3 linked regions of the Rattus norvegicus genome follow. The protein of the gene in region 2 binds, or shares a complex with, the protein of the main gene of each other region. Links are inferred from orthologs where the notes say so. Each region holds a gene or a part of one and is shown on either strand. Other genes may lie near its edges. The genes, in order: Crybg1, Ppp2r5c and Ppme1.

What was found.
Region 1: the proteins of Ppp2r5c (region 2) and Crybg1 are in contact, whole or in part, in a crystal structure (PDB 6VRO), measured with the Homo sapiens proteins. The link is inferred for Rattus norvegicus from reciprocal best matches to the Homo sapiens genes PPP2R5C and CRYBG1. Residues at the interface, in NP_002710.2 of Homo sapiens: Lys183, Thr184, His187, Tyr190, Gly191, Leu194, Arg197, Ala198, Arg201, Glu226, Ile227, Ser230, Ile231, Asn233, Gly234, Phe235, Ala236, Lys240, Glu242, His243, Pro265, Gln266, Tyr269; in NP_001358171.1 of Homo sapiens: Pro1136, Phe1138, Ala1139, Met1140, Pro1141, Pro1142, Ile1143, His1144, Glu1145, Asp1146, His1147, Glu1149.
Region 3: the proteins of Ppp2r5c (region 2) and Ppme1 are in contact, whole or in part, in a cryo-EM structure (PDB 7SOY), measured with the Homo sapiens proteins. The link is inferred for Rattus norvegicus from reciprocal best matches to the Homo sapiens genes PPP2R5C and PPME1. Residues at the interface, in NP_002710.2 of Homo sapiens: Asp180, His187, Arg188, Tyr190, Gly191, Leu194, Arg197, Ser230, Ile231, Gly234, Phe235, Ala236, Lys240, His243, Asp313, Gln341, Tyr348, Glu353, Tyr354, Glu399; in NP_057231.1 of Homo sapiens: Arg37, Lys38, Arg39, Asn192, Lys217, Val251, Glu252, Gly253, Ile254, Ile255, Glu256, Glu257, Pro345, Gln346.

The regions. Positions count from the first base shown.
Region 1 is NC_086038.1:49,046,992-49,050,636, forward strand, and holds part of Crybg1 (beta/gamma crystallin domain-containing protein 1), read right to left. Parts: intron 2,695-3,645; coding exon 2,647-2,694; intron 2,563-2,646; coding exon 2,444-2,562; intron 1-2,443. UniProt on the Homo sapiens protein: May function as suppressor of malignant melanoma. It may exert its effects through interactions with the cytoskeleton.
Region 2 is NC_086024.1:135,281,441-135,285,867, forward strand, and holds the start of Ppp2r5c (serine/threonine-protein phosphatase 2A 56 kDa regulatory subunit gamma isoform), read left to right. Parts: upstream 1-1,593; 5' UTR 1,594-1,731; coding exon 1,732-1,758; intron 1,759-2,343; coding exon 2,344-2,409; intron 2,410-4,427.
Region 3 is NC_086019.1:164,089,140-164,092,784, forward strand, and holds part of Ppme1 (protein phosphatase methylesterase 1), read right to left. Parts: intron 2,820-3,645; coding exon 2,696-2,819; intron 1-2,695. UniProt on the Homo sapiens protein: Demethylates proteins that have been reversibly carboxymethylated. Demethylates PPP2CB (in vitro) and PPP2CA. Binding to PPP2CA displaces the manganese ion and inactivates the enzyme.

The sequences.
Region 1 (3,645 bases), on a different chromosome or scaffold from region 2:
CACCACCACCTACATTTCTGATGTCTGATGCCTCTGGCCTCCATGGGCATTTGTACGCACAAACACTAACACACACACATATACATAATTAAAAAATAAATTGTTAAAACTAAACAAGAAACGGTTTCAAAAGAGATAGCAGCAGCCATGCTACAAACGAAATTATCTCGCAAAATTTGTTTTTAGCGTAATTTTCAGTCTTCTAATTTGATAATGAAAGTACACTTTGTTTTTCTAGGGAAGATGTTCACTATTTAGAAAAACATTAAAATATTAAAAGTCCTGTTGGAAAAGATGTTGTATAATTAATTAGATGGAGATTAAATGAAACACAGCTAACTTTTTAGGTCGTAACTCTGTTTGGTGTATAGTGTTTGTCCCCAGCCCAGCGTGCACAGACAAAATGAAGACAAACACGGTACCCTGATTGTTTGTAGTTGTTTCCCTTCACTCAACTTCCTGTGCGTTTCGGAGAGACAACCCAACCAGCTAAAGATTTTAGAAACTGTCACAGTGTTTACATTTTCGTTAATCTCCTAATCAAAACTAACTTTTGTCAAACTTCAGCTCACTTCTTCAGTGAAGTCCTAGAAATTTATTTATCTTTCCCTACAAGCTCATTTGGTTTACTGATTTATTAAATTATTGCCTGGGCGTGGTGATATACTCCTTTAACTCCAGCCTCGGGAGGCAGATGCAGGCAGACCGAGCTCTGTGAGTTCAAGGTCAGTCTGCTCTTCATAGTGAGATCTTGCTTCCATTTCTCAAATGTATTTGTGTGTGTGTGCCTGGGTATGTGATCCACGGTGTTCAGGTGGAGGTCAGAGGGCAACTCGTAGGAGTCAGTGCTCTCCCAGCACCGTGTGTGTCCTAGGAAACGAGCTCAGCTCACCACGCTTGGTGGCAAGCACTTCTACCCAGTGAGTGAGCTTGCTAGCTTTGCAGGGTGCGTGCGTGTGTGCGTGTGTGTGTGTGTGTGTGTGTGTGTGTGTGTGTGTATGCACATGTGCATGTGTGAGCATGTACATGTGTGTGCACGTGTGCGTGTGTATGCTGATCCGTGTGGGTGCACCGGTGTGCGTGTGTTTGAGATTAGGTCTTGCTACATAAGACCAGGCTGGCTTGGAACTCACAGTGACTTTCTTTTAACCTCTTGAGTGCTAGGATTATTGGCATGAGCAACCACATCCAGCTTTGTTTAACCCCATACAGGTTTAACAAGTCACACCTGACCTATAAATAGAACAAATGTAATTGTTCAATAAGATTTATTTATTTTATGTATGAGTACACTGTTGCTGTCTTCAGACACACCAGAAGAGGGGAGGGCATCAGATCTCATTACAAATGGTTGTGAGCCACCATGTGGTTGCTGGGATTTGAACTCAGGACCTCTGGAAGAGCAGTCAGTGCTCTTAACCACTGAGCCATCTCTCCAGCCTAAACAAATGTGATTTTAAAAATATAAGCTTTAGCTGGGGTTTAGCTCAGTGGTAGAGCGCTTACCTAGGAAGCGCAAGGCCCTGGGTTCGGTCCCCAGCTCCGGGAAAAAAAAAAAAAAAAGAACCAAAAAAAAAATATATATAAGCTTTACTTGTTTCTACATGTTTTTGTTTTTGTGGTTTTGGTCTGTATGTCTGTCTGGGTACTTGTATTCAGTACCAGCAGAGGCCAGAGGAAGATGTCTGATCTCATGAAACAGGAGTTTCAGATGGTGTCAAGCAACCTGTGGATGCTGGAAACCAAACCCAGGTCCCCTCGAAGAACTAAAAGTACTTTTCCCTGCCAAGCCATTGCTCCAGCTTCCAAATGCAATCCTTACCAACCTCATTAGATACCCATGAGCCAAGACGATACTATGGGTCCCAATTCTATCTGAAGCAATGTTATGTGGAGATATCTGGGGAAAAGAAGTTTGTTCTACTGTATTTTTATGATTTGTCTAAACAGGTTATCACTTTTACAGTCAAAACCATGTGTGTTAGACACAGGTTTCTTATCTTACCATCAACAGTGTTTTAAATCATTTATGCTGATAAAGGCACACACATAAGTATGTGGTGAGGTCCAAATCATAACTGAGAAAGCTAAACACCAGCTGTAAGCTGCACCTGCAGTGCACTCTGACACCAGCTGTTAGCTGCACCTGCAGTGTACTCTGACACCAGCTGTTAGCTGCACCTGCAGTGCACTCTGACACCAGCTGTAAGCTGCACCTGCAGAGCACTCTGACACCAGCTGTTAGCTGCACCTGCAGTGCACTCTGACACCAGCTGTTAGCTGCACCTGCAGTGCACTCTGACACCAGCTGTTAGCTGCACCTGCAGTGCACTCTGACACCAGCTGTAAGCTGCACCTGCAGTGCACTCTGACACCAGCTGTAAGCTGCACCTGCAGTGCACTCTGACACCAGCTGTAAGCTGCACCTGCGGCGCATTCTTACCATCCTCGGACAACTTTCACTAGTACCACTGGAGAAAGGCTCCAAGAACTGCAGTCCTGGATGTCCCCAAACACCTCGATGCACTCCTCAGAGACGTCGGGCTCACTGAATATCACGACCTGCAAGACAATGGAAGTGGCAGCATTTTGTCTCCCTTCACCAGACCGGGAGAGAATCTGGACTAGAAATTAGAATAACCTTACCTTGCCAGGCCGGGGATTGAGTTTATTGTGCATACTTCCTCTAAGAGTCTGCAATCAGAGGAACGGAAATGTGGTTAACAATTGCAGCATCACGGGGCGGTTGCCTTTTCTCCCCGAGATCCTTCAAATCAGAACATATTTACTCCACCGTTTACCAGCACTGAGGCAGTCTATCTTGCTCTAACTCAGGCATTGTCAGTGTTCTTTGTGAGTTTACACGATTACACTACAAGATTTTCCAAATGCACCTGTATTAAAGCTTCTACTCACTTTAACGTCTAGAGCATTTCCAACGATACTAGAAAATTTGGGGCCCAAAAGTCAGATCTGTGTTTTATATCGGTTCACGGACTAAGACCCAACCAGGAGACTGCATGTCAAGGAAAGAGCTAAGCTGGTTAGTGTGTTCATACACACACCCCATTGGATCTGTAAACACTGCGTTGCCCCAGTAACTTATCCATCATGTGACAAGCACCAGTCTAAAGGAAACTGTGCACACTGAGGCCGAGGGACACTTTCCCACACCTGCAGCTACAGGAGAGAATAGGTGAGAGTCACCAATCCAAGGATGCCTAGGCTACGGAGTGCATTCAGGACCAGACGAGGGAATTCAGTCAGATTCTTCATCTCAAAACAGAAAGGTAAAAAGAGGGTCAGGGATGTGGCACAACGGCAGAGCACTCACCTAGCGTGTGCAAGGCTGTGGGTTCAATCCCCAGAAAAGCAAGAGAAAAAAGAAGAAAAGGAGGTATAATACATTTCACAATACACACTGCACATAGCAGATTTTAAAGATTTATGTGTTGGATGTTTTGCCCACATGTATGGATGTGCACCAAGTATCCTTGTTAGTCAGAAGGCCCTGGTACTGGAGTTACAGACAGTTATAAGCTACCATGCCTTTGCTAGGTATTGAATCGGGTTCTCTGGAACAGCAACCAGTGCCCTAACCATTGAGCATCTCTCCAGCCCTGATAAAAATACCTTTTTACATGG
Region 2 (4,427 bases):
ATAGCCATTCTTCTGTCAAATACACATTGCGGCTGGTCATTCTTACCTACAGATTAGTTTTATTTAGGTACACATTCAGACACCAGCAGACAAAACCCACTCTCAGAACCTCTCACTTTTGATCTCCTTTTTTTTTTTCCCTCGAAAGCTTGGGTGGGAACAACTGAAAATGCTTTACTTGGCATTTTCAAGGGTTAAAACACAAACAAAACAAAAAACAAGGGTTAAGATACATCAATTTTCAGTGCCTTGGCCTGGGGATGTAGCTGAAGGTTCCAGCGTTTGTCTAGCATGTTCAAAGCTTATCCACAAAGACAGCTCCTAAATCCTGAGTGAGCGCCTAGTCTCCTGCCGTTGAAACAGTTCACTCCTACAGTCTTCCTTCCAAGTGCTCCCCCTCAATATAGGATGTCAGACACTGACAACTCCAAAAAAAGGACTGTGTAAGTAGCGAATTAGAAGGCTAAGCTTCTTCTCTCATAAAGAGCTACCAGAGAAGTGATCGTTGGTCTTCATGCAGTTTTCTCACAGGCTTACGACCACTGGTAGAGAATAACAATCTCAAAAGCGCAGGGCTGCTCAGATGTAATGGGCACGGTGGGGAAAAAGCCACCACTGATGTGACTGTATCTCAGGTAGGCCGAGTCGACGGGAGGGGCGTGCAGGTAGAGTCTCCCAGGGTGCAGCTGATGGGCTCGGCCTCGGTGGATCCAATCCCCAAGACGTAAGATGGGCGTTGCCTACGTTGGGAAAGCCGGTTGCCTTGCGGGTGGGTCTTGAAGTGAGAAATCTCGGCGTGCAGGACCCCAGGGGAACTGTGCGGAGTCTACACTTAGACAGCGGTGGGTGGAGCCTGCTCTGGGGAAGAGTTCCTTTGCTCGCGTGGGCGGGGACGAAGGGGAGGCGTGGACTCGATGGGAGGGGCTTAAGTGAGTCCCGCCTCAGAGGCGTGCGGTGGGCGGAGCCCTCCCCGGAGCCAGCAGCATTGCCTTCGTGGGCGGGGCCTTATGGCCCAAGGAAACCGCCGCTCGCGCGGTCCCGGGTCTTCTCCGCTCTGCACGAGCGTCGTCGCGACCAGGCTTACAGGACAGAGCTTTTCGTGCCTGGACGGCTGCAGAATAGTTGCCATACATTTCACATGTGCATTTCCGCTCCTCACTGTCGTGTTTCCCTCCCCGTCCCGGCTCAGCGGCCGTGACTTTATCACCTCCGTCGTACTCACACACATCCCTCTCCCCCAATAGCTCGCTCCCTAGTGGCTCCACCAAAACCTTTAAGACCCGGGCAGCGCGGCCGCACACGAGACGGTCCGCACCGAGGGGGTGGGGACGGGCCGCGCAGTGGGCGGGGCGACGCTGCGGAGCGTTAGGGCACGTGGGGCCGTATCGGCCAATGGCGTGGCGTCGTTGAGGGCGGCGAGGCGGGGAGAGGGCAGCGTGGGGCCGGCGCGGGGCGGGGCCTGGGGCGGGGGCGGGGCCTGCCGGGAGAGGGGCGGAGAGACGCCGCCGCCGCTGCCGCCGCCGCCGCCGCCGCCGCGGCTGCCGCAGCCTCTGGGAGCCTGGAAAAGGGGAAGCGAGAGCGGACGAGCGACTCAGTCCCCGGGCGGCGGCTGCAGCGGCGGCGGCGGCGGCCGGGGCGGCGCGACGGCCGGGCCGGGGGCGCTTCTGCTGCTGCAGCGGCAGTGGCGGCGGGCGGCGGCAGGGGCGGCGGCGGCGGCGGCCCGCACCAGCCATGCCGAATAAAAACAAGAAGGAGAAAGTGAGTCGGGGCGGGGGGCTCTGGGACCGGGTCGGGGATGCCCGCGTCGTCGGGTAGGGGCAGACGGCAGGTCGTCCAGGCTCGCGGGCGGGCCCAGGGCGCTGGCAGGATTGCATGGAGCTGGGGAGGCCGCCCAGGCTCTGAGGTGGCGCTGAGGTGCCGCGGTCGCTCTGGGTGGCGGCGGATGCTCCGTGCAGTGCTCTGCGTGGCGGGGGCTGGGGTGCTGGAGCGTTCAGGACTCGCCCCAGAAACCCTCACTTGGAGGTTTAAGGGTGGGAGGGGAGAAGGGGATGGGCGGAGAGCACTGGGTTTATCAGTCCCTACCTGGAGTTTTCACCTCGCCCCCACCCCCAACACAGACATGAAGAGAAACGGAATTTGAAGGCTCCTGGTACTCAATATGATGTAGTTTGCTGCTGGCGTATTAAAGCCATCAGAAGCTCTCGGTGATAGGTATCTGTTTGGAAACTGCATTTGAGCTGATGCTTAGCGGTCCAAATACTGAGAACGCTAATTGGATTTTTGTTGTTGTTGTTGTTGTTTGTTTTTGTTTTTTTGTTTTGCTTTTTTTGTGATGATTTCCAGGAACCACCAAAACCGGTGAAAAGTGGAAAAGGTTCAAAAGAAGGACAAGATACAGCAGAAGCAGAGGTAACCACTGTAATACTCTCTGTTTTTCTGGAGCAGATTTTAATCTAGGGTCTAACAGAGAGGGTAATAAAAACCAAAGTCTCCTAAAGTGTGTAAGACTTTCTGAAGTCTTTCTTCTCATATGAGTTAGTTATCTTTATCCACTTTCATTAAAGTGTGCTGACATTTTAAAAACAGTTTCTCGTGGCTTCTAACGGAGCTCAGGCCCTCCCAGTGAACTGGTCTCATACGGAGTCTCTAGCTTTAGGGTCCGCCCCCTCATTCCTTTTCTGTTTCTCAATGACTCTTCCACAGTCCTTGCTTCGCTCAGCCTCTTGAGCTGGTTGGTGTCCTGGGGCAAGCTTCTCTCTTCTGCTGGTGGCCGGTCCTTTTCAACTAAGAAGTGTGAATGTGTTGTGATAGCTCGAATACGGGTACTTAAAGTCTTCTATTTCCTTTCCCTCCAGCTCTCCCATCCTCATTGGTGAATTCTCGACTTTTCTTGCTTCCTGACTTTGGCTTATTTCAAGAATATCTGGAATAACACCTTGGGTCCTTGGGTCATTTGGTGGAATTTGTGATCCTTAATGGAGTTGTGCCTTTGGGGGATTTGCAGGGCAGCCTGTTTATTTATTTAGCTTTGTTTTGTATCTCATTGTCTTGGAACTAGAGCGCCCAAGCCACAAGGCCCAGGTTTTAGTGTAAGGGGGCCTAGAAGCTGCTCCTCAAGTCTCCCTTCTCCAGAGCTGGATCTTTGAGATCTTACCACAGACTTTTTTTTTTTTTTTAATGGTTCTTTTTTTTTCCGGAGCTGGGGACCGAACCCAGGGCCTTGCGCTTCCTAGGCAAGCGCTCTACCACTGAGCTAAATCCCCAACCCCACCACATTTTTAATTTGTGGATGTTAGGCGTCCTCTTCCTGAGAGCCACATTAGAATGAGTTAAATTCTGCCCGGAGAAACACAGCTAACTGTCAATAATCTGCAGGGGTTATTTTAGCTTCAGGTTGTCCCTCCCTCCCCCCATTTGGTGTGTTCTAAGCCTCCCTCCTCTGCAGCAGGTGGTTCATCCTAGCAAATCTGTTGCCCTCCCTAGAGCCGAAAGCAGAAATCCAAAAGGTTCCTGAAATACCAGGAGATAGGATTGTCTGTGTCGGTCTTCACCTGCCCTTTCTGTACTGCAGATCATGGTGTCTTTCCTGTGGCACGCTAGTGTCTGACTGCCTTCCACAGCCATCCCTTCAGCGATGTTCACAGCACACGTAGTTGCTTTGCGTGGTAGATATACACTGTGTGCCTTGTTGTCCTGTCATTAGGACGGCTAAAACTTCTTACTGTGCCCCAAAGCTTCCTCGCTCAAACATACCGGTGTCCTGCTGCTGTTGGAGGACACAGAGGATGTCAACATGTATGTTCATTTCTCCCTAGTTTAGCCAAAGGACCTTGCTGTAAGGATAGGGTAGATGATTAGGTTAGGTTTGAATCCAAAACAAAAACAGAAAACCCATCCCAGTAGAAAGATGTCCACACCACTGCTGTGTCTGTCAAGGTCTTGGGGATTTTACTGTCAGCTGTGTAGGGCTCCGGAGTGTGGCCTGCAGTGCCCGGTGTGATGCCCCAGTTGTCTTTCTGTATCTTTTCTAGTGCTACTGTCTAAGAGCTGGAGTCCCAGAGCTCAGAATGAGCACTGAAAAACACTGAGATGTTGGGCGCCTCACCCCTTTCTCAGAAGGATGCCTGAGGTGACGTGACTCGCTAAGCTTGACCCTTAGCAGATCACTGTTTAGATTATTTCCCGGGAGTGCAGATGAAGGCGCTGTAGCTACCTTGACCTCTGAGTTACTCTTACTTTCTGATCACCGGCTCCTCCCCTCAGCCTTTGGCTCTGTTCTTCCCTGCTGGTCCCACCCACTTAGTGTGATTGACTCAGCCAGTGAATTAAGTCATTACTGCACAGGCTTCTCTCCTCCGATTACTCTGGGATGTTTTAACCTGAATGGTGTAAATGGGTTTGGTATTCCCACTGCTGCTCCTTGAGCC
Region 3 (3,645 bases), on a different chromosome or scaffold from region 2:
CAGTGCTACAAACAAGGTTCACCATAACTACTGGTAACTTTAGGTAAATTTAGGAAGCAAATAACTATTGAGCCAAGGTACAACTTTCCTTTCAGTGAGTATAAAGATTAGCAAAAGATTCACACAAAGAACATAGTGAAATAAAACAAAAGAACCCCTGCCACCACCCCTCCCCTCCCCCCCACCAACCTAAGTGAAAGAAAAAGCAGAGACTGTCCTTCAAGTTAGGATGACTACCAGAGAAACGTGGTAGACGTCTGGGAGAGAACAAGCTCATTTGTGAGTACAGTGCTGTTTTCTCATTTTCAGGTTGATGATGATGACCAGGGACAGTCGTTCTAATAAGGTGACGTGACAAATACATCTGACAACTGGGTGGTGAATGGCACACAGTATGCTATCAAATATTAGGTGAACTAGCTGGGCTGTGATAGAGCATGCCTTTAATCCCAGCACTTGTGAGGCAGATGCAGGCAGATCAGAGTTCAAGGCTAGCTTGGTCTACAAAGCAAGTTCCAGGACAGCCAGGGCTACACAGAGTAACCCAGTCTTGAGAAAATAAAGCCAACCAAACAAAAAACCTTTAGGTGACCTACTGAGTCCCCTACTTGCCTGCATCATAGAACTAGGTCAGATACAACTGAAGCAATGGCAGGACGAAGCACCAACTGCAACAGGAGATCTAGATGTGGACAAGATGACACTGTCTGCTCAAGATCAGTGGGTGACTAAGATGTCCACAGCACCCAAAGTGAGCCAGTCAGTGGAATCAAGTCTAAGTGGTATTTTTGGATGATATTTCAATGATCTTAAAGTTGTCTAAGACTACATACAATTCTGAATAGCCAACCAACTTTGCAAAAGTGTTAGAAATCTGGAGAACTCATTCTTGACTTCAAAACAGTACAATCTGTAGTAATTGAGAGTTTGGGACTTAGAGATATACAGTTCAGAGGCACAGGTTGAGCGTGCTGAGGCCTTCTGAACCACAAAACCAACAAAGTTTATAGTGTCATTAAAGACAGACAAAGGAAACGGAGGTCCCAGAAATGGACACTGAGATACACAGTCAAATGACCTCTGTTAAGAGTATTAAAAGTATTGGTGGGGGATACAAGGCCTCTTTTACAGTGCTGAGATAACAAATGCAGCCATGCAGAGAATGCAGGCACAGCTAGGCAGTAAGAGTGGAAAGATGCCCAACAGCAGCAGGCAACATGGAAACAGGAGATGGCTGCACTCAGAGACAGACAGCACTATGGGAACTATATGGAGAAACCAGAAGCCTCATTCTCTTAGCTCTCCATAGTGGGAAAAATTCTATAGAAAAATCTATATATTCATCATTTGAGGGACATATTAAAAATGTGACATATCAATACCACAGAATATTTTTCAGACATACAAATAAGGCAAACACTGATGCATGACACATGCAGCCACATGGATGAACCCTGAAAAGCCTGACCTACAGTAAAGAAGCCAGTCACAAAGGACCACACATTCCATAGTCCCTTTTATATGTACTGTTCAGATTAAGCATATCTACAGACCGAAAGTAGATTGATCATCTCAGCTAGGAGAGCTGAGGAGAAACAGGAAGTGGCTGCTTACAGATACAATAAAGAGGGAGACCTCTTCATTGGGGTGAGGTAGATGGAGAGCTAGGCCTCCATGTGTGAGTGCCTCCCACTGAGCTACATGCCTGGCCCTTTCTGTTTTCCTCCTTCTTGTAGATTTTAAGATAGGTGTCACTAAGGCACCCAACCTCCTGACTTATCATGTACTCCAGGCAGGCCTTGAATTTTTGATTCCTCTGCCTCAGACTCCCAAATCCAATTTCTGAATTAAGATGCTACTATATTATAGTATGAGAGAAAAATCTCCCTTCACCTTACAAGGTATTTCGAGGCCCAAACACATGAGGTATTATTTATACATTTGTAAATTCTAAAGAAGTATAAAATATTCTGATCATTGATCTTAAAAATGGCAGAAAGATCCTTATTAAGCAAAAAAAAATCCTTTAAAAATATGTATTCTTCTTGCTAAGAGCAGCACCCCCAAAGGCAAGGGAGTGTGTAGTAACACCAATATTACCTGACAGAAAGGAGGTGCTTACAATACGCCCTAGGAAGTCACTAATGCACCTCGCAAAGCAGCACTACCCATCATTAGCCTCAAACAGACTGCTCCACCAGAATCCCTACTTACACAGACATGAACTTAACACAACTGGTTTGCTTGGGTAATGATTTCTATTAAATGACAAGGCAACAGGAGGCATCACTGACAGTCAGGCATCCACAGCATCTGTGGCTTCATTATTGGGACTCCCTATGCGAAACTTCAGAAGTGTTACATTGCACATATCATTGTAAGTCTACAATGTAGATGGACTGACAGACACTGAGGTCAGAAAGCTTGTTCCAAGAGACAAGCCTCGGAAGGCAGTAAAAGCTGGACAGTCAAAAGATACAGGTACCAAATGAGGAGCCTGGTGAGGAAGTCTGAGGGGAACACAGAGTAAGTTTCTCACTCTAACTGCTGCATTAGTACTGCATTAGTGCCCTCCAGGCAATGCTCTCTTACCGCGGTGTCTCTGCCCACTAATGTATCTAACTGGACAAAAATAACAATGTTATCCCTGCTCCCCCACCCCCCATCCTCTGAGGAGGAGGCCTTCCTCACTCACTTCCATGTCGTCTTCCTTTTTCCTCTTGTTAACTGACTCACTTCCTTCTTCATCTTCTTCCTCCTCCTCTATGATTCCTTCTACTATGGATTTGGAACTTTCTGGACTTGTAATTCCTTCACACCTGGATTGAAAAAAACTTTGATGAATGTCTTATCAAATTGTCTTATTAGATACTCTTATGGCCCTTTATAATCAGAAGTTAGAGCTAAAACTATTCCTGGGCAGAAGATGTGTGGTTTTAGGGCTGGGGGAGGTCAAGGCCAACCTGTGGCTATATGCAAATAGCTAATTTTCAGTTCTTATGCCAATAAGGACCCATAAAAGGGAGTGGCCATCTTCTGGATAATGATAATGGTTTTATTGGTACTTTTAAATGACTGTCATAGCAATTCTTTGAAGTAGTCCTAAAGAGTTCAGAACAATGGCCAAAGAGGACAGTAAAAAGTCCTGCATTGCAATTACAATGACCATGGCAAGCAGAACCTGCAGTTTTGAACACCCAATCCAATCAATCACCATTTTCTTCTTCTGAGAAATGGTGCCCCTTACACAAACAAGGGATGACAGAAGAAGGGAAACTCACTGGCAAGAAGAAGGGTTTCAGCAGGAGGGAATGAGAGAGGGTGGACAGGGGTGTAAGTGACTACAGTTTTTCTGTATGTGTATGAAACTGTCAAACCTAAACAAGTAAGCAGGCAAACAATGGGGCCTCTTTACTATGTCATTAATGGAAAAATCATAAGCACCTGGTCCTACAATTCCTCTTAGAGAAGAGTTGATGGGAAAGGTTCTGACAGGTGCTAATGTGAGTCTAAGGTCTGAGGGCAGTGAGGCAGAGCTTGTGCTCCACGACAGAGACTATTTATTTTGCCTTTGAGAACAGAGTGTGACAAGGGACAACAGAGGATAAGAAGGGCAGGGATGGGCAGAGAAACTGAAGGGACAGC